4 linked regions of the Caenorhabditis elegans genome follow. The protein of the gene in region 3 interacts with the protein of the main gene of each other region in a pairwise test. Each region holds a gene or a part of one and is shown on either strand. Other genes may lie near its edges.

Region 1 (8,037 bases), on a different chromosome or scaffold from region 3:
GCTGAAAATGGTGCTGAAACTGATGGTGTTGCTTCAGCTTCAGATCCTCCTCCTACTGCTGCTCCTGGAGCTCCACCGCGACGCCGAAAACGCAACTTTTTCTCGTGTATCTTTCGTTCTCGTACCGATAGTGCTTAGAAGATTCTGTGTTAAATGCTGAAAATTTGAGGAAATTTGGCTGAAAATGAGCTGAAAATCATTTTGGTCTGCTACAGATTTGTGTAGTTTGTAGTCTGGCCACCTAGCCTCAAATTTATGAAATTTTGACATTTTTAGCGAAAAAATAGTGATGGTCTGCTAAATATTTTTGTAGTTTGTAGTCTAGCAGACCCAAATCAAGCGTATGGGTCTGCCAGACTACAAACTACACTTTTCGACTGAATTTCACGATTTTTAAGAGATTTTTAAGAGATTTTCTTAGTTTGTTTCCTGTGAAAATTTACGAATTTTTATCGAATTTTCCTGAAAAATACGATTTTTTTTTCGTTTAAAAGTTCGAGTTTTTACACTCAAAAAATCAACAAAAAAAACGCCGATTTCTCAGTTTTCGCAAATTTTTGCTCAATATCCCTTGAAAAATACGAAAATTGGCTTAAAAACGTGTAGTTTGTAGTCTAGCAGACCCATACGCGGCGATTTGGGTCTGCTAGACTACAAACTACACAAAAATATTTCGCAGACCCATCATTTTTTCGGCAAAATTTAGCTTTTTTGCGTTTTTAACCGGAAATGTGTGCGGATTTTCGGCATTTTTTCGGATAAAAAACTCAAATTTTTCACAAAAAATTCGATTTTTTGGGTTTTTTCCCGAATTTCAAAGTGTTTTCTGGTAAAAAAATCGATTTTCCACTCCATTTTTCCCCATTTTTCCTCGAGTTTTCAGCATATTTTATTGATTGCTCAAGCTTCTTTGTCTTTTCTAACCGATTAACACTGTTTGTGTGTAGTAAACGTGCTCTATCGCCACCTTTTCTCAGGTTTTTTTTCTTAAAATTTTAATTTATTCACAAAAGTCCCTTCTTCACCTGTTCATGTATACAACCTGTGTGTCTATTACTTAATTCTTCTTTAAACATTATGATTATGATTATTGTAGCAACAAAAAAAAACTTAATTTTCCGGCAGTTTCTCGATTTTTTTTCGGTTTTTTTTCGTTAGAAACCCCCCAAATTCGTCATATCTTTATTTTTTTGCTCTTTTTTCTTCGAAAATTTAACTATTTATTGATTTTTTTTTCCTCCGCCATCGTGCTTTAGACACCGACACACCATATATATATATTTTATAAAAATTTCTGCTGAAAATTTCTGAATTTTCATATATTTTTTCACAATTTTTTTTTGGTTTCAACTCCAGAAATATTTGTACTTTTTTTTTTCTGTTTTTCGTCTTTGTTTTTTGTAGTTTATAGTATCCTGATATAGACTACAAACTACAATACCTTTCTTTTTCTGTAGTTTGTGACTTGGTCTGGCAGACTACAAACTACGATATTTCGCGAAAAATTGCGTTATTTTTTTTTTAAATTAAAATCTCAAAAACTGCTCATAATGATATTGCGAATTTGATTTTTTTTTCTACAAAGAAAAACCAATTTTTGTGTAGTTTGTAGTCTAGCAGACCCAATATCAAAAGAATTTTTTTAATACAAAAAAATAGAAAAATTAGAAAAAGAATTCGTTTTTAAATCACGTTTCCTTTAAAAAATCTAACGAAAATCACTCAAATTTTGGAAATATTTACCCGATGGGTCTGCCAGCGTTTTTTGTAGTTTGTAGTCTAGTAGACCCAAACTCCAAATTTTTTGATTTTTGGCCTTTCGAAGCGTTTTTTTTTTGATATTTTTTTCTTAAAAAAGGCAAATAATCACTTTAAATTATGCAAAAAACACGTTTTTTAACTGATTTTTTCTCCAAAATTCTTAAAAAACCGTTTTTTTTTTCCGAAATTTTTCTTGCCAGTCAAAGAAAATCAACGAAATTTAACGCTTTTTTTTTGCAGAAAAAAAATGGGTGAACCAAGACGTTACGGGTTCCAACAGCCGCCGCCGCCGCCAAATTGTTGTGAAGATGGTGGTGGAATAGAAGATGGACTAATTCGAGATTCTGGACTAAATCGGGCCGGATCTGGATCCGGTGGAAGGCCTGTCAGCTCGACTTCTAATGAAAGCTGGAGAAATGTTCCATGGGGACCACCGGGCAGACAGGTCATTAGTTTTGTTCGAGAGGACTTCAAAAAAATTGTAGTTTGTAGTCTGGCAGACCCATTTTCTGAATTTGGGTCTGCTAGACTACAAACTACACGTTTAATCCACGTGTTTCTTTTTTGAAAATTTATAACAAAAATTTTGACGTTTTTAAACGAAAAAATCGTATTTTTCGTTAAAATTCCATAAAAATTCGCTAATTTTCACAAAAAAATCGTAGTTTGTAGTTTGGCAGACCCAAATCGAGCGTACTACAAACTACACTTTTTACTGTACAAAAATATACATTTTTAGGCTATTTCCTCAGTTTTTTTGTTGTAAAAATTGGCTAATTTTTATGGAATTTTCCTTAAAAATACGATTTTTTTTTCGTTTAAAAGATCAATTAAATCGTGGATTTTATTTAACTTTTGAATTCCAGAATTTCAGTGAAAAATTCAATTTTAGCATAAAAACCCGGAATTTCGGCGTAATCTCTCAAATTTTCGATTGGTCTGCTAGCGTTTTTTGTAGTTTGTAGTCTAGCAGACCAAATTTCTGAGAGTAGGTCTGCTAGACTACAAACTACAAAACGTATTTGGCAGACCCATATTTTTTTCGACTGAATGTTGCGTTTTCATGTGAAAAAAATAAAAAAGATTTAGAGGGAAAAAACTCGGTTTCGTACAGAAAATTAATAAAAAATGGGGATTTTTCGTTTTTTCAGACGGTTTTTCGGCGAAAATTGTGATTTTACTCATATTTCTCTGTAAAAATCGATTTTTCAGTCAATGTTCGTGAATTTTCATATTCAAATTGCGAGAAAATTCAAAATTTGGATTTTTCCAGCGAGAAAAAATCAGGAAAACTGCCCAAAATCACAGCGAAATTGACGATTTTTACCTAGTTTTATGGTCTGCCAGACTACAAACTACACAAAATGTATTTAGCAGACCCAAAAAAAAAAATTTCGCGATTTTTTTTTTAATTTTTTCTTGTATTTTTGACCAATTAGCATTAAAATTCGCTAATTTTTCCCCCCAATTCCGAAAAAAAAATTGATTTTTCTCAAAATTTCCCAATTTCCTCCCCCGCTAATGGCCATCTGCTCTCCGAATAACACACTTGGCACGCTGCCAAGTGTCTACCAACAAATCCCATCGATTTTCGCGGTTGGTGAGGGACGAAAAATCCAATTTCCATGAAATTTCTGCCGTTTTTTTTCTAGATTTTCCATGAAAAAATCGGATTTCAATGCCAAATATCCGGAATTTTTGCCATTTTTATTTCAGATTTTGCAGATATTTCACCCTAAAACTATCCGGAATTTTAATATCGGAAACCATTAAAACAATTCTTTTTACAGGGTCCCGCTGTTCACCAACATCATCAAATGGTTCAAGTACATACACGTCGGCTCGGCGGAGCAGCACCAACAATGCACCATAGTAGGCCACCGCCGCCGCCTTTGGACCGACGCCCGATGTCACCTCAAAACGCCTCAAGACCGCTTCCCGTCCGTGGTACAAATTATTCAACGAATGGAGATTGGCCTGATCAACGTCCGACGATTATTCAACAATCGTCAAGAATTAATTCGTTTCCGAATAGACCTGTAGCTAATAATAGTTATCACAATGAGAATATACCATTTAAGGATATTATTCTGGAGGTACTTGGAAATTTGAAAATTTTTAAGCGGCGCGTCGCGGTTGCGTCGCGTTTTTTTTTTTTGAATTTTTGAAAAGGGTAATATGGGTTTTGAATTGAACACACTGTTGAATTGGAGCAGTTCACGCAATTAATAATTGCCGGATTTGGAAATTTTCGGCAAATTTGATAATTGCCGGTTTTGGAAATTTTCGGCAAATTCGATAATTGCCGGTTTTGTAAATTTTCGGCAAATTTGATAATTGCCGGTTTTGTAAATTTTCGGCAAATTCGATAATTGCCGGTTTTGGAAATTTTCGGCAAATTTGATAATTGCCGGTTTTGTAAATTTTCGGCAAATTCGATAATTGCCGGTTTTGGAAATTTTCGGCAAATTTGAAAATTGCCGGTTTTGGAAATTTTCGGCAAATTTGATAATTGCCGGTTTTGGAAATTTCCGCCAAATGTGACAATTGCAAAAAATTGAATTTTTCATGAAAATTCGCTAATTTTCACACGAAACATTGAGAAAATTGGCGAAATTCAGTATGATTCAAAAAATTTAAAATTGTGTAGTTTGTAGTCTAGCAGACCCAAATCAAACAAACGGGTCTGCCAGACTACAAACTATACATTTTCGACAGAATGTTAGTGTTTTTAATGATTTTTTTGCGGGAAATATCTCAAAATTTGCATTTTCTCGGAATTTGAATGTGAAAATTCACCAAAATTGACTCAAGCAATCAATTTTCACACAGAAAATATTGAAATTCGGTAGAATAAAACCCCATTTTTCGCCGAAAACCCCGTCTGAAAATCCAGAAATCCACATTTTCTATCGATTTTCTGTGGGAAACTGAGTTTTTTTTTCCCAAAAATCTGCTAATTTTCACTTGAAAATGCAAAATTTTGACGAAAAAAAGATATGTAGTTTGTAGTCTAGGTTACAAACTACAGTGTTTTGAAAAAAAAAAAAAACTGGAAAATTCAGTAAAAACTGGTTAGTTGGCAGACCCAATGGGTCTGCTTGCTGGACTACAAACTACAAAAATATTTAGCAGACCAAAATGGTTTTTTGCTATTTTTTCGCCAAAAATGCCGAATTTTCTATTGAAAAAACACAGACTCTAAACTACAAAACTGTTTTTTCGCCAGTTTTTACTAGTTTTTCAGCAAAAAATGACTTGAAATTACCGATTTGGGGGGATTTTTTTCGGAAATTCACCCAAATAAACCCGATTTTTTGCAGTTACACGAGCACACTGTCCCATTCATCGATTCACATTGCCACGTTGATTTCATGTACAACCAAATGGTTCATAATAATCCGAATTCATCACTCAGTCATGGCCTATCGCATTGGATTCATCGATATCCATATGGATTTCCGAAATCTTTTTATGGAGTCATTGCGAATTTCATTAAACCTTCGCTTTTTGTTGTGAATGATGGTGGTGGTGGAAATGGATATGATATAGATTGGATTATAAATGAAATTGAATCGAATATCTACTTGGGAACCACTTGGGGATGTCATCCACATTATGCACAAGAGTATGTGTCACTTCTTGGTGTAGTTTGTAGTCTGGCAGACCCAATTTTTTTAAAACGTTTTAGTGAAAGAAGTTGAAGTGAAAATTAAAAATTTTTTTTTTTTGAAAATTGAAAAAAAAAACATAATTTTTCGGCTATTCTTTTTGGAAAAAAATAATAAAAATCGAATTTAATACATTTTTCAATTTTTTTTTGCAAAGAAAATTTGCAAGTTTAACCTTTTTTTATTAAAAATGTACAGAAAATGCACCTTGAAATTAAAAAAAAATCAATTTTTTCCTCCTAAATTGATATTTCTCACTGAATTGTTTGGCTTTCAGGGGAATGTTCTAAAATAGTCAAAAAATCACTTTAAATAATGAAAAAAAACACATAATTTTTGGAACTGATTTTTCCACCAAAATTTTGAAAAAAAAAATCCTTTTTCCCCAAAAATTAAAAATTTTTTGCACTTTTTCCCAATTTTCTTTAAAAAAAACGGGAAAATTTCTCCAAAACTCGTTAAAAACCCAAATTTTCGAAATATCCGATGGGTCTGCTACCGTTTTTTTGTAGTTTGTAGCCTAGCAGACCGATCTACAGAATTTAAAAATTCGACAAAAGATAATATCAGATTGCTTTGGCGAGGATTTTTATTTTATACACACTGATTATTTAAAAATTGAACAAAAAAGTTGTAGTTTGTAGTTTGTAGGCCTGCTAGACTACAAACTACAATTTTCTGTCGAAAATGTTCTATGACGTATGCCAAACTACAAACTACACATGCTTTTGTAGTTTGTAGTCTATCATCAAATAATTACAGATGGGCTTCAAAAGACATCTTCTGGCAGACGCTTGAGCACATTTTATCGAATGCAGCCACGTGGAAGGTGTTGGCCGTCGGAGAGTGTGGACTAGATTTACACCGTTGTATATCGGATCTAGAAGTACAGAAAATGGTATTTGAGAAGCATATCGATTTGGCATACAAGTATCAATTACCATTAGTCATTCACTGCAGAAGTGGACAAAAAGGACGTGCAGAAGAACAATGCCTGCGTATTTTGAAGAAGGTAGCCGCGGAAAATTCGCAAAAAATGGTGGAAAAATCGTGTTTTTTGGAGAAAATTGACGTATGGGTCTGCTAATGAATTTTTGTAGTTTGTAGTCTAGCAGACCAAAAATCATCAATTTTCAGCGAATTGTTCGATTTCTGCTGTCTCGAAGCGATTTTTTTTTGAATGTTTCCCATTAAAAAAGTGTTTAAACGAGTTTTCCTCCAAAATTTTGTGAAAATTTGAAATTTTTGCCGATTTTGGGTATGGTCTGCTAAATATTTTTGTAGTTTGTAGTCTGGCAGACCAATATTCTCGGATTTTTTTTGGAAATTGAAAAAATATTTTTTGAAAAGTTTTTGAAGTTTTTATGAATCCGATTTTTGATGATTTAAATCGATTTTTTTGCAAAAAAAAATCTAAAAAGTGTAGTTTGTAGTCTAGCAGACCAAAATATTTCCAAGCAACGTTGAAAATTTGCAAAAAAAATTGACTTGGGTCTGCTAATTAAGATTATGTAGTTTGTAGTCTAGAATGTTAATTTTATATAACTTTTCTGAAATTTCTGATTTAGAAATCAGAAAATTGCCGAAAAACCGCAGAGCTTACTTTTTTCTCAAATTTCTTAGACAAAAAACCTAAAAATATGGGTCTGCTAGAGTTTTTTTGTAGTTTGTAGTCTGGCAGACCCAAATTCATTTCTGAGATTTTTTTGTGCCCAAAAATTGAGACATTTTCGAAATAATTTTAAAAACAAATTTTGGAAATAGGAATTTAATTGAAAAATCCGATTTTTGAAAATTAAATAGATATTTTGCAATTGGGTCTGCTAAAAAAGTGTAGTTTGTAGTCTGGCAGACCCAAAATTTGCAACAAAAAAAACTGAAAAACTACATTTTTCGAGAAACTACAAGGACATTTCTCTCATTTTTGAAGACTACAAACTACATAATGTTCTTTCTTTGTTTTCATTGTGTAGTTTGTAGTCTTAAATTTTTTTCAAAAATCAAAATTACCCCGGAAATTTCAATTTTTGCTGCAAAAAAAAATTCAGAAATTTAAATTATTGTGTCTGCTAAAAAGGTGTAGTTTGTAGTCTGGCAGACCCAAATATTTCCAGTTTTTTTTCCATATAAGTATCTAAATAATTTCAGAAAATGGACGAAAATCATAAATTCCTGAAAATCCACCGTCATTGCTTCACAGAGACTTGGGAAGTGGCACAAATGTGGATGAAACAGTGTCCGAACGTCTATTTTGGTGAGGAAACCCGAAAAAATGCAACAAAATTGATTGAAAAAGTGTGTAGTTTGTAGTCTAGCAGACCTAAAACCGATGTTTTGGTAAATTTCGATTTTTAACATTTTTCTCATAGAAATCAATTGCAAAAAACCGAAAAATCCAATTAAATTGGTCTGCCAGTGATTTTTTGTAGTTTGTAGTCTAGCAGACCCAAACTCCATTTTTCGCTATTTTTTTCAATTCTAGTGTTTCTAGTGTGTTTTTTGTAATTTTTTGATGAAATAGCGTTAAAATTTGCTAGTTTTCCCCACAATTTTGTGAAAAATTCTATTTTTTCTACCAAATTTTTTAAAATTTCCAAACCAAAAT
Region 2 (3,338 bases), on a different chromosome or scaffold from region 3:
AGAACTAGTATTTCTTGAGAAATTTCCCTTTTTTTTAAAGAAGAAAATAGACATTTTAATTTTAAATAATCTGTAATAATCACTATTTCTTCTCGAACTCGATTTTTTTTAAAAATTCTGTCAACTTATTAATTTTCGAAATTAGGGGGAGCTTGTTGAGTATGTTTTGGTAAAAGTTACCAAGAAAAACGACTAAATTGAAATTTTAAAAAAACCTTCAATTATTCTCAAAAACGGTCTAAATTTTTATTCTTCAGCTGACTGCATCAATCATTGGAGACGCAGTATTCTATGGATCAGACAGTCTACTTGCCATGTCAAAACTACATTCACTGGCCGATAAAAATGCATCCGCGTTGCTCGCCACGAATCTTCCAGTTGTTGAGAGAACCCGATACAAGAAGTTCCTTTCTACGATCACGAGGGCTTCGAAGCGAATTTATTAATTGTTTTTTTTGTTATAATATCCATTTTTATGTTGTTGATTGTTCATCTTGTTCTGTTGATTTTTAAGTGTTCAATTAAAAAATTTATTCCAAAAAAACACAAAAGAGTTCAAAAAAGTCAATAGAATCCGCATCCATAACCACCATATCCTCCATACCCGAAATCAAAACCTCCGTATCCATATCCTCCATAAAATCCATTATAATATGGGTCGAACATAACACCACCTCCATAATATGGATAAGGGCTCATGATCACTGGCGGCGGAGCCATGACAACTGGAGCCACCGGAGCAGCACCCATGACCATTGGTTGGGATCCATAGACCACGGGAGCAGCTTGTTGTTGTTGAGGGTAAGCTTGAGCAGGTGCAGCCGGAGTTGCCTGGGGAGCTGCCTGAGGAGCTGGTGTAGGTGCCGGGACTGGGGCTCGCGGAGCAGACTTTCTCTTCTCCACTTCCTTTTCAACCTCTTTCTCCGTTTGGTCGATGCAAGTAAAAAGCTCTGGATCTTCAGGCGTTGGTGATGGCTCCGCAACTCTCTCCGGTGGTTCTGCAATCGTTACTCTCCTATTTTTGGGCTCCACGACTTTCTCAGGAGCTTTCGGTGCTGCTGGAGGTGCGTAGGCCGGTGGAGGTCCCTGTGGGATCCCTTGAGGCTGCTGTCGAGGGTATGCCTGAAAAATCGATATTTTCTTTTATTGATTTTCGGAAAATTATCGATTTTCCCTACCATTTGCTCTGTCGAGGCGTTTGGAGATGGTTGAGTGTGCTGACGATTCTGAAAAGTTGAGGTACAAGGAGGAGTTCTTGAGCTTGACTTCAAGGCGACCTTCGTCTGCCTTGTGTCTATTCAGTTTTTTTTATGGAACCCGGAACAGGGATTATAGGCAGGCACGGTCACCTCATATGAAACTTGGAGACTTACCATTTGGTCCGAGCGTTGGTTGTTCCGTTGATTATTTCTAGCTTTCTTCGATTGACAGCATCCCATTTTTCATCGATATATTTGAGTTCTTTTGATTATAAAGTAAGTTGGGAATAAAATTTTTTAGCGGCAAGTTTGAACATTTGAAAAATAAATCATTTCCAAAAAAATAACTGCAAGGCGTTCACGCAGAAATGGAAGCGGCCGACACTTTCCTTTTTCTAATGCCAGCAGTCGACACTTCCCGTGGATAAATTTTGGTGGATCAATTTGCCAGTTTCGGACCGATTAACTAATTTTTAGAAAACAATCTCAGACTATTTTTATTGCAAAAAAAGGATCAATTATCAATTATTTCTTATCGGAAATATTTTCAAGTCACTTCATCTTCTTCTTACTTTTCATTTGACATCTCGATTAAAACATAAACGGATCACAATAGAATGGATCACCGTAGTACATTCCACCTCCATAACATGGATAAGGATCCACAATGACCACTGGCGGAGGAGCAGCCACTACGACTTGCTGTTGCGGTGGATAGTATGGCTGTTGAGCCCCATACGCAGGAGGCGGTTGTGGCTGGTACGGGAGACCTGGAGACGGTTGTTGACGTTGAGGTTGTGGAGGCTTCTGTCCATTGGGAGGTGGAGCTTGTTGCTGCTGCTGCTGTCGAGGTGGAGGTGGAGGTTGATTCCTATTCTGAGGTTGATTCTGGGCAGGATAGGGGCCTGATTGGGTTCCGGTTTGATTCTGAAAATATAGTTTTTGAGACGAGGAATCTCTAAAAATGAATGCTGTCGAGATTGTAAAAGGTGTGCAAAACTATAGTGACTCTACAGTAACCAGGTAATAAACCTGCGCCAACCGTACCCCTAACAACACGTAGTACTTTGGTTTCAAAAGAGTTCGCAGCGAAAGCTGATGCAAGCTTAAGCGTACAAGTACAGTATTACTACAGTAACACTGTAATTACAACGATGAGCTACCGTAATCTTGCAATAAACCTATGAAACCCGCTACCGTACCACTACAGTAAACCAATCGAAACTTGGTTCTGCAGAGCGTAATCCTACAGTACCTACCATTTGTTGTCCATTTCGATTTGAATTCCTACTATTCTGCTTGTTTTTTGAACCGCAGCATCCCATTTTCTCACGGCTTTCAGAAATGAATTTCTTTGAGTTTGAAATTGATTTTTGGAAAGTTTTACACGTAAATGTTAAACTTTTCGACTTTTTAAATTATTTTTTTCCAGATTTTTATTATTATTATTTAGGCACGAATGAAGTTCAATTTGAGACAGCTAACATTCACGAAAATAGGGGTTAACAAGGAAGGCGCGAAGGCAAACACAGGTAGGCACGAGGGAGTGAGATAGGCGGATAGGCTTGTAGGCTCAAAATGGTGTATGGACCTGAAAATGTTGATAATAACGCTGATAAAAACGTTGATAAAAACGATAGAATTGTACTGTAGTTTTTATTGAATATCATCAATTCGTAGAAATCTCGGTATATCACCAATACATACACATACACCTATATATATAAATGAATAAATAAATGCAGCGGTATGCACACCCGTTCGGTAAGCAATCCAAGTAGTTCATCCGGTATTAAATGTGGGAGAAGGTAGGGTACCATGAAAGAAGCTTAAACTCTCATTCGGAACCCGTCGTTGTTTTCTTCTTCTTCTTCTTGATTATTGTCAGCTCCCTCAGCTTCTGGTTCATCGGGCTCACAAGTTGTCGTTGGTTCCTCAGTTGTTGTAGATGTTGTGGTGGATTCCGTTGTTGTAGTCGGAGCCTCGTAGTTCTTTGGCATGTAGCAGAGCCCTTGGTAGCAGGCTGGAGCATTTGCTGGGCAGTTGGAGCATTTTCCATTGTCACCGGAAGCCCAGGTGAAAGCTGGCATCTGGAATAAGGAGTTCAGTGAAAATTAATATTTAATTTTTGGTAAAATA
Region 3 (4,601 bases):
ACACACGTGAAACGAGTGTTACCGTACTCCTCTGTCCCACCGGGACATGAGAGCAATGTCTGCGTCTCTGACTGGTTTTACACTGCGGAGCGGCTGCGTCACGGTCTTCAGACGCGCGGTTTGCTTCGCTTGCAAGTCGTCTCGTGTGATTTTCGAAAACATTAATGCTGGTGTCCGCCACGACGGCACTCCGGAGAATTCATATACTCATTTTCTGTTTCTTTTTTGTGGCACAAACTTCTAACAAACATTTTAGGTGAATTTGGCGAAAAAGAATATGGGAGTAAAATTAAATGATCCGACTGGGCGAAAGCTTATGTAAAAGCCAGAAAAACGTGTGCAATCCCTTGAAAATTAATTGCAGAGAAGGTGAAGAGAATTTGAAGAAATTATACTCTGAAATATTCTGAAAATTGGAGGTATTTGATAAATATTCAAAGCTCAATAAAGCTGGTAATCGCTCGGAAAAATGAACGTTGGAAATTTAATCTAGTGTCAAATTCGATTGTTTCGAAAAAATTTGCTAATTTTAGGTGAATTAGTCTAGCTATTTCCAGTTTTTGTTAAATTTGCCACGCTACGTTCAATTTCTTTAGATATTATTTTCCTTGTAACGCGCCTAGCCCAAAACGTGTTTCGTAACGAAATTCGTATTCGTAAGCCCATTTCCCTTGATCGATATTCAATGTTAGAGTGTGTAAACTGAAGAGACGCTGCCGATTAGTAGAGTTGTTTGCGCTGAGAGAGAGAAATGACGGGGGCCTCTCTTTCCACTCTTCCCTTCTCCCTCGTGGTCGATTTTGACGGGTTGCGATAGTCACTTGAGCGAATAGCAGCAGTATGACAACGCGCTTGCTGTATACATTCTTTCTGTGGTTTTCGTCATCATCAATCCTTTTTCTAACATACAAGAATAGTTTCCAAATGGTAACAAAAAGTTAAGCATAATTGGAGAAAAAATGACGAAAAATTGGTTAATTGAATTTTAACGAGTTTGAAAGATCAACATTGATCTGAAATAGTTCGAAGAATTTAAAAGCAACTGAAAAACTGAAGTTATTGATATGAAAAGACGGTTTGTTTGAGTTCCAGATTTGAGCATTCTAGACTGAAATTCCAACGTTCAAGATTCCAAGAAGCTATACATTTTTATGTTTTAAAGCTTTTCGAAATAGTTGATTTTTAATTCGAGAAAAAATTCATCCCAAAACTCTGTTCAAATTTCCTACATTATGGGCGGAGTCTGCGCGACCAATGGGCGCTCATGCCGTTTCTATCGTAGACAACATGAGAATGCTCCTCCCACTGCAACTGTGACTTGAAAATTGAGAGAACGAACTGAAATATGTAAATAATCACAAAGATCCGGAAAAGGGAATCACGGAGGAAAACATGAATTTTCATTATCTTTTTATTTCTTTTCTTGCTTTTTATTAGAGCTTGAGAAGTGAACACCGCTTTAACTTTTTATTATGAAAATCCGTAAAACCGGGTATAAATCCAATCATTACAATTATTCTAGATCATGACGGACATCATATCTCAAAATGAAAATAAAGACGATTTCGAAGATGGTGAACTTCCTGAGGACGGTGAAATATGTGATGATGAAGATGAATCTGTAAAAGCAGTGCCCTCCAAATCATCAGAATCAGCTCCAGGTGCTCATATTGCTCCAGCACATCCTGAGAAAACAAGTGGTCGGGATTCACGAGAACGAGTCAGGCGGTTTGAAGGGAATAGTCCTCCGAGAGAGCGAGATCCGGATCCGTTTGGATCTCACAATGATGCTCCGGATGGAAATGGTAAATGTTTCTCTGAATTTTTTGAAAGTCTAACGTCTGATTTGTGAATTAAATTTATCCGATCCGATAATTATCCCGGCAACTGTTTATTCTACGAAATTTAGAGTGTAACCTCTCTTGTTTTTTATTGACGCATTAATAAATGGGAATAATTTTCGAGTGCTGAAAAGGAGAAATTTAATAATTTTCAGATTATTTCGGTGGAGATAAAGACTATCGTAGCGGAGCAGCAGCTTCGTCAGAAGAAGAACCATTCAGTGATACTGATTATCGTGTAAATCGGCGGAGACGCTTATCCCCTTCCCACGACGACGGAGACTTTGACCCGAGATCAAAACGGCCATACTATGGAGGACGAGGAGGATTCCGGGGTGGCTTCCGGAATGGAGCGAAGCCAAGATTTCAAACAGAACATCAGATCTGCAAGTTTTTCCGAGAAGGTTATTGTAGAGACGGTGACAATTGTTTGTACTCTCACCAAGCCGAAGATTCACTGAGACGGCCTGTTCTGTGCAACTTTTATGCTAATAGTTTTTGTAAAAAGGTTAGTTTCAGAAAAAAAAACCAACTTTTCATTTTAAAATACTAATTCTTGTTCAGGGTCTACAATGTCTTATGCTCCATGGAGAATTCCCATGCAAATCCTTCCACAAAGGACAATGCAACCATGATCCATGTAGATTTTCTCACGTTCCCCTGACGGACTATACCCGACCAATCATTGAGAAGATTCTAGCAGACGAAGAAGCCCGGCAGGCTCATCAAGCGCAGCAGGCTCAAACATACAGACAGAATCCAGTGGCAAATGCTGCTGCTGCCGCTGCAGCTGCACAAGTAATGCCAAGAAGGAGAGTTCTCCTCCCTGGAGGTAAGCAGAAAATCGAAATCACTTTTCCATAATAATTATTCAAAAATGTTCAGGCCCTAATATGAATGGTTCATCTCCACCCCACGCAACGCCTGTGATACATGCTCCGATCCCTCAAGCATCTCATCCAAGTCAACTTCCACCACCAGCAGTTGTTGTGCCAACCATTCAACGAAACCCTGGACCAGGAATTCCAATACATCAGCAATACCCTGTTGCTCCAGCAGCTGGAGGATATTTCAATCAAGGGCCACGGCCCGAACAAGTTCAAGGACTTCCACCGCCACGAACAATTGAGCCACCTAGGCTGAGTACTCAAACTCCTCCTATAATGCATCAACAGCAACCACAACTAATGAGGCCTATGCATCCAGTTCCAATTCAACATCCACATCTTCAGCAGCCTGGATTAGTTCAGCCACCGCAAATAGTCTCTCAAGAACGACATACTGCATCACCACAAGGATTCAATTTAGAGGTAAGAATATTGAGAAAGCTTTCATTTAACAATATTTATTTTTCAGGCAATGCTTAACAAGATGGCCAATGGCGAAAAGCTCATATCAAGTCCTCGGAACAACGTGGTCGACGATTCTCCAGCCTCGCCTCCTCCGTCCAACTATTCCAGCATGTTTGGATCATCGAATCGTGTAGCAGTCATACCACAAACAGTGCAAGTCACTTGGGGACTAGTTCGTGTTCAAAGGCGACTTCCGTACTCAAATGTTGAGAACCCTGATCGTATAGCTGCCAATGATCCAAGAAGAGCCAAAGCAATCGCCAAACAGTTTGATGCTTTCAGCTCATTGCTGGGCGCTGGAGGGAATGCCGTATCAGATCCAAGACTTCGGGCACAGAAAGAGAAAAATGATCGTCAACAAAATACAATGCCATTTTCCTCGTGGATGCCTCAAATATCTTAATTTTTATTGTAATTATTCAATGTCTACTGAAAACATTAGTTTATCTTTTAAACAAAACAATTACAAGTTTAGATTCATGTGAGTGTATCACATTTTTCAATCTTTCAATTGATCTGGTCTCTTCATATTGCCTGTTAATGTTTAGTTCTTTCTTAAAGTTTTCATTTATGATTTTGTGAAAAATTTGCAAAACCTTTCCTGTCTTCAACGAGTTTATCTGGACATTTGAGGCTTTTCAAAAAAATTTTCCACTCACAGACGATACTGGTACGATCCCTGTTCCAATCCACTCCCCGAACTGCTGGCATTTTATTTTTAATCAGTTATCAAGTTCCACAAATGATGCTCACTTTTCTGATATGTGTAAAATTGTGTTTCAACCATTTATACTGATGTTTTCTTCACTTCTTTTTAACTTGTATAAGATGAGAACATATTTTGAATGAAGAATGATTTATTAAAACTTGGACTTGTTATTATATTTGAAAAAAATCATCAATTGTAGCCGGAAATGTCAAAAAGAGAGGGTGTTCCTTTCCACTGCACAGATACCTCATTCTGCGCCTCTTCGTCTCACACGCACTCTCGTTTAGCGGCACACACAAAACTTAGTTGACGGCGGAACCTGAAGAGTGTCGGCCGCGCCGTTTTGTTGCCTCAGCACACTTTCACCCTTTCTCCAGTCTTCAGTATGGGTCAATCTCTGATCTGCAACTGAATATGATGAGTTCGGGCGATGATCTTCTGTGATTACATCGCACGGCGAGGTGGGAACGCAATACCCGCCTGCCAGCCCGATTCTGAACCAAGTTGCCTAGAAATATTTTGGAAACATAAGACTCTTTTAGAGTTATTTATATGAATTACATCTTGTTGTGTTCAATTTGATGTGTTTGTTCATTAAAGCTTAACGAACAACATCGTTGACATAAAATACACGATTTCTAAACATATACGAAGTACATGAGGTAAAAACGTAATCAACAATTGTAAATGATGCCAGAT
Region 4 (4,780 bases), on a different chromosome or scaffold from region 3:
AATATGCATTCTCAGAATTGTTTGTTCCCGTAATAAAGCATTTTAAACGGAAAAATGAAAACAAAACATAAAATTTTCTAAAGACGAGGTAATTTCAATGAAGAATGCAAGGAATTAAGGAAAGTAAACTTGGAGGCAGCCGAAAAATTTAAACAATGGCTATTTACCATGAACCTTTTCTCGTGCCAAGACACTTCTGAATAAATGCTTGCTCCTTTAAAAATGCATGTCAAAGTCTTATGATTGAGTTTAGCGGTTATTTAGCGGCATTGAAAATCAATTTATTCGATATCAAAAGAGCGAAAGAAAAAAAAAGATGACAAGGATTGAGAGAGAGAAAGAAATCTACAAGTTGACTAGAAAAAATTGAAAATCCGTACTTCGAATCATGTTCATATAATCGTAATTATCCAGATGTTTGGCGATATCGTCTTTTCGTGGGGTTTTATCACAATCTACAAGGGGATGGCTAGAAAGAAGAAATACCATTTAAAGAGACAACGGGAGGGGGGGGGGGGGGGGGGGGGAAAGGTTTAGACCTCCTCGACCTTTTCAGCATTCTCGACGTCTTGATTCATGCTTCCATATCCACCATCAATGCTTGCCTAAATCGTTGTTCTATTTTCAACAACCATCAATTCATTTCCTCATCTTCAACCTTACCTTTATAAAACTATTTGCTGTCTCTGCTTGATGGCTTGATGAGTATCCCTGTTGTTGATCAGGCAGTACAAAGTGACTGACTTGTGGAAAGGGTTGAGTTTGAACTGGATCTACAATAACTTCAACTTCCGGATGAACCATTGGCTGGTATTGCATATATTGTTGTGGTGGTGGTGGTCCATACATATACTGAACTCCTTGAGGTCTTCGGTAATCTTGTGGCATGTACCGAATTGGACGAGCGTACTGTTGTGGTTGAACTACTGGTTGAGGTACATACTCATAGTAGGTTCCTCCCGGGGAGCACATTCCAGGCTCTTGGTAGTTTGATGATGGCATTGACATTTCTTCGAATACCTGATAGCCTGTATAGTTGGAGGTTGGAGGTTGTTGGATGTGAGCGTGGTGGTGGTGGTGATGAACCATCACTGATGGAGGTGTTCCACAAACTACTGGCACACTTTGCTCGTAACAGCCATGTGATATTCCGTTTGCCATTCCTCCGAAGCTCTCTGCTTTCTGGAAAATTTAGAGGTTAGAGTTTGAGAAGCGTTTTTTGCGCCCACGGCATGTGATCTTAAATTTTTCGAAACTCGGAAACTTATGGAAACTTATGAAATGTATGAGAGATACTCGTAAATCGACATGGCTGAAGCTCACAGATATTGACGGCCACACGTTCAATCTCAATCATATATTGATTCAAAATCTTGTAGCTTAGCGATCGTGAGAAAGTAAAACTCGACGCTGTTTCTTTTTTGAAAAATCGATTTTTCAGGCGAACTCTGATACTCACCCTCATCATTGGATGTTTTCCAGTGCACAAATAACTATTATTGGAGCAATCAAATGATCTTTGCGGTGCCCATTGATGTCCCTGTGGTCCACTCATTGGTGCAGTAACCATTGATTGTTGTGGGCAGTTGAGTGAAAGTTGTCGCATCGGAAGACCTCGAACATGATGTGGAGATTGAGGTTGAATAACTGATGGTCCAGTGACTGCTGCCACGTCAAATGATTGTGCCCTTCGCATCATGAGTAGATCATGATTAAGACTTGCTTGACTTCCATATTGACTCGTCGAATGATCACCGAATGATTCCATATGGTGAAGTTCCTTGCGGGATCCGCAAGTGTTTTGTCGTTTCAGTCGGTCTTCTACGTAATTATCGTGCCGGATGTAGTCGGTGAAGTTGTCATCAGGACTGGAAATTTGTTACTTTTCTAGTTAAAATCTGACAAGACCAAATAAAGGGGCTAAACTAAAACAGACAAAATATTATGATTTTCATGATACATACATCCGAAAATTAATCAACTCACATTTTGGTTTTCTCTGACTTGTTCACAACAATATCGGTCTGCTTATTCGTAACATTATGATCAAGACCAAACCACGCGGCACACCTGTGAAGAAGCATTCGGTGATAGGATGATGGAAGCTCGAATCTTTTCGATTGTGTGCTGAAAATTATCAATTTCAGACTGAAATTTTAACAAAAACGAACCTATCATCTAAAATAAGTTCTTTGAGTTGTTTTTCGAACTCCAGAAGCTGCTTCCGATCTTCTTCACTCTTGTGTAACGTGCGATCCACAAAATTCCTTAGATCAATGCCACTTCTGTCCGAGTACTCGGTTCCTGTGGACTCTCTGCTTAACGATTTCGATGTGGACCACAGTTTATTCTGTGCGAGACCCGGTGGGCGGAGTTTTGACACGTCACTGCTTTCTGCTGGCTTCTCCTCTTCTTTGCCTTCTTCTGGATGCTCTTCTATGCATGGGACCGTAGTATCCGAGTTTTCTGATGGGCTATCAGAAATTGACAGGAGAGATATTGGCTAAAAATTAAAAAATTTCAGTCGAAAACGACCAGATTTTGTCTATAAACTTACAAACATTCTTCGAAATTGGGTGAAAAATATGAATTTCAGCAGACTTCCTAACAGGAACTATTTCAGTTTTCAGCGCGGCCTATGACACAAAATCGGATCATCCTCTGATGATTCACAAGAGAGTGAGCTGATCAATATGATAATAAAATAATGTATTCTCCAAGCAGCCGACATTTTACGGGTTAGTGATAACTTTTAGCCGGCTTCAAGAAGTTGTGTACCTTAGCAGCATACACCATACGGGACAAGAACTACATCAGCAACGGCACCCATATTCGAAGTCCGACACTTCGCGGGACAATTTCCCACCTTCCCTTGAAATTGCTCACCTCTTCAATTGTTGCATTCTGTTTTGAAAGTCGTCTTCGAACACTTCCATTCCTCCGAACTCCCTCACTTTCTGTAGCTGGCACCGTCGTCACATTCATTGTCATTATTACCGTAGTCGATCGTCGCCGATCATCTTGTTTTGCGTCTTCAACATCGTCAAGCTCTGAATTATTCTCTTCTGAAACGTCGTTTTCGGTTGACATTTACACCTGAAAATTTGGTTTTTGTTGGAAGCACAGAAAAAGCAGAGGATGAGAATTTAAAAAAATAGGATTCAAGAAGTAGTACTACCAAAAAAGAGCAGAGTTTGCATGAAAATGGAGCAGTGGGTAAGCTTCAGCTGCTTTAGAGTCTCCGCCCACGAATGTCCTTCTCCCCCATTCAATGCTAAGCCCCGCCTTTTGAGAACCAAAAAACGAGACGAAATTTCGCAATAAAAAACATAAAAATGAATATAAATACATAATAGGCCTATTTTTTGAAAAGGTATAATAGTTCGAATAAGAAAAAGAAGAAGGTATTTAAAAATTAAAAGAATTTCCAAGCTTTTATCTATGCAGAGATAAGAGATACCAAATAAATGTAAACAAAGAAATCTGAGGTGAAGCAGAGGTTCAAAGAAAACGTGGAGGAAGCAAGAAGGGAGGAAGTTAAAGCCCGTTATAATTCAATTTGCGGGTGTTTCTTGCGTATTCTTGCAATAAAAATAAAAATTCTATTGCGAGTAATTCAAAAAAAAATTCGGTATTTCCACTTTTATGTATCTTCTCGTCTAATTGTAAGTTACATAACGTCAATTTTACAACTGTGGGTCTTGTAACGGAATCTCTCGTTTATTATAGCTTAAAAGTGCATTGAAACATGAAAATTAACATTTCAAACTGAACTCCAGTCTTCGCGGTGGGACCCAAAATTTGTTGAACCTAGGCAAAATTAGTAGCTTATAGAGTTCAAAAAATTAAATTTAAAATGACTCTTCGAATTACAGTAATCTAGTTTTTCCAATCATGTCCTACTTCCTACCGTATGACAACTTTATCACCAATTTTCTATGAAACAGGCAACTAAATAAGCATGAATTAACAACTAAATATCACTGATAATATGCAGTTTCCATCCATTTTCTCAAACATTTCCAATTATTTCTGCGAAAAGCTCAAAATCAGATCAAAATCATTTTCAAGGGGGATTTGTAGGGGATTAGAAACTGCCAAATAATGTGTTTTTGTGGTGGCTCACGGGTGGGAGTGCTCATCTTGAATAATAATGGGTGGGAGGAAATTGAGGTGAGGTTTCCTAACGGAAATTGACTTTTAGAACTTTTTCGGTATGAATCTCTGGAAAATATAGTGCAAACGTAGTTCTACATCCAAAAACTTGATAACTTGAAAGAATTGTAAAATTCTTAGAATTTTTATTTGAAAATTATAAATCTCTTTTGAAAACTTTCAATAAAAAGATACTAACGAGCGGAATTCAGAATACCGTATTTCTTCTATTAATATGGCCTCCCTATTAGACTTGCACTCCCTATTAGTATTGCACCTTTGAATTTTGAGATTTTTACAACATTTTTTGCCTACTTTGCAACAAATTTTTGGTAAAATTTCTATGGAATTGAAGTTATTGTACCTTTTTGTTGCAATTGCAATCAAATTTTCTGAATTTTTACATAAGATACGAGTTTTTTTCAGAAAAAAATAGTAAGCTCAAAGTCAGAAAAATGTTCTGAAAATTAGTATTGCACTCCCTAATAGTCTTGCACTCCCTATTAGTATTGCAAGCGGGAAGACCATCGAAAAATAGTATTGCAGCCATATTAATAGAAGAAATACGGTAGTTTACTTTTGGTTAGATAAATAATATTTTTTTGCAAAGTTCAAATATATGTTT

Evidence for each region.
Region 1: the proteins of T26A8.4 (region 3) and Y37H2A.1 interact in a two-hybrid assay, tested with the Caenorhabditis elegans proteins (one large-scale study listed by BioGRID).
Region 2: the proteins of T26A8.4 (region 3) and R02F2.5 interact in a two-hybrid assay, tested with the Caenorhabditis elegans proteins (one large-scale study listed by BioGRID).
Region 4: the proteins of T26A8.4 (region 3) and ZK121.2 interact in a two-hybrid assay, tested with the Caenorhabditis elegans proteins (one large-scale study listed by BioGRID).

Annotation. Positions count from the first base shown.
Region 1 is NC_003283.11:18,106,268-18,114,304, forward strand, and holds the start of Y37H2A.1 (Deoxyribonuclease TATDN2), read left to right. Parts: upstream 1-2,001; 5' UTR 2,002-2,008; coding exon 2,009-2,206; intron 2,207-2,714; exon of another isoform or gene 2,715-2,775; intron 2,776-3,551; coding exon 3,552-3,857; intron 3,858-5,084; coding exon 5,085-5,389; intron 5,390-6,194; coding exon 6,195-6,444; intron 6,445-7,580; coding exon 7,581-7,686; intron 7,687-8,037. Other genes in the region: Serine/threonine-protein kinase par-4, read left to right, coding at 1-138.
Region 2 is NC_003281.10:5,477,505-5,480,842, reverse strand, and holds R02F2.5 (Prion-like-(Q/N-rich)-domain-bearing protein), read right to left. Parts: upstream 1,526-3,338; 5' UTR 1,440-1,525; coding exon 1,374-1,439; intron 1,227-1,373; coding exon 1,179-1,226; intron 1,123-1,178; coding exon 565-1,122; 3' UTR 515-564; downstream 1-514. Other genes in the region: R02F2.7 (Myb-binding protein 1A-like protein), read left to right, coding at 258-446; R02F2.6 (uncharacterized protein), read left to right, coding at 1,919-2,161; R02F2.10 (Prion-like-(Q/N-rich)-domain-bearing protein), read right to left, coding at 1,791-2,126, 2,459-2,524; Protein lon-1, read right to left, coding at 3,029-3,289.
Region 3 is NC_003282.8:8,428,415-8,433,015, reverse strand, and holds T26A8.4 (C3H1-type domain-containing protein), read left to right. Parts: upstream 1-1,522; 5' UTR 1,523-1,525; coding exon 1,526-1,805; intron 1,806-1,996; coding exon 1,997-2,349; intron 2,350-2,405; coding exon 2,406-2,673; intron 2,674-2,726; coding exon 2,727-3,151; intron 3,152-3,197; coding exon 3,198-3,596; 3' UTR 3,597-4,055; downstream 4,056-4,601. Other genes in the region: tmem-231 (Transmembrane protein 231), read right to left, coding at 4,504-4,601.
Region 4 is NC_003281.10:5,340,000-5,344,779, reverse strand, and holds ZK121.2 (R3H domain-containing protein), read right to left. Parts: upstream 3,099-4,780; 5' UTR 3,091-3,098; coding exon 2,887-3,090; intron 2,504-2,886; coding exon 2,172-2,503; intron 2,128-2,171; coding exon 1,987-2,127; intron 1,869-1,986; coding exon 1,460-1,868; intron 1,183-1,459; coding exon 664-1,182; intron 606-663; coding exon 534-605; 3' UTR 521-533; downstream 1-520.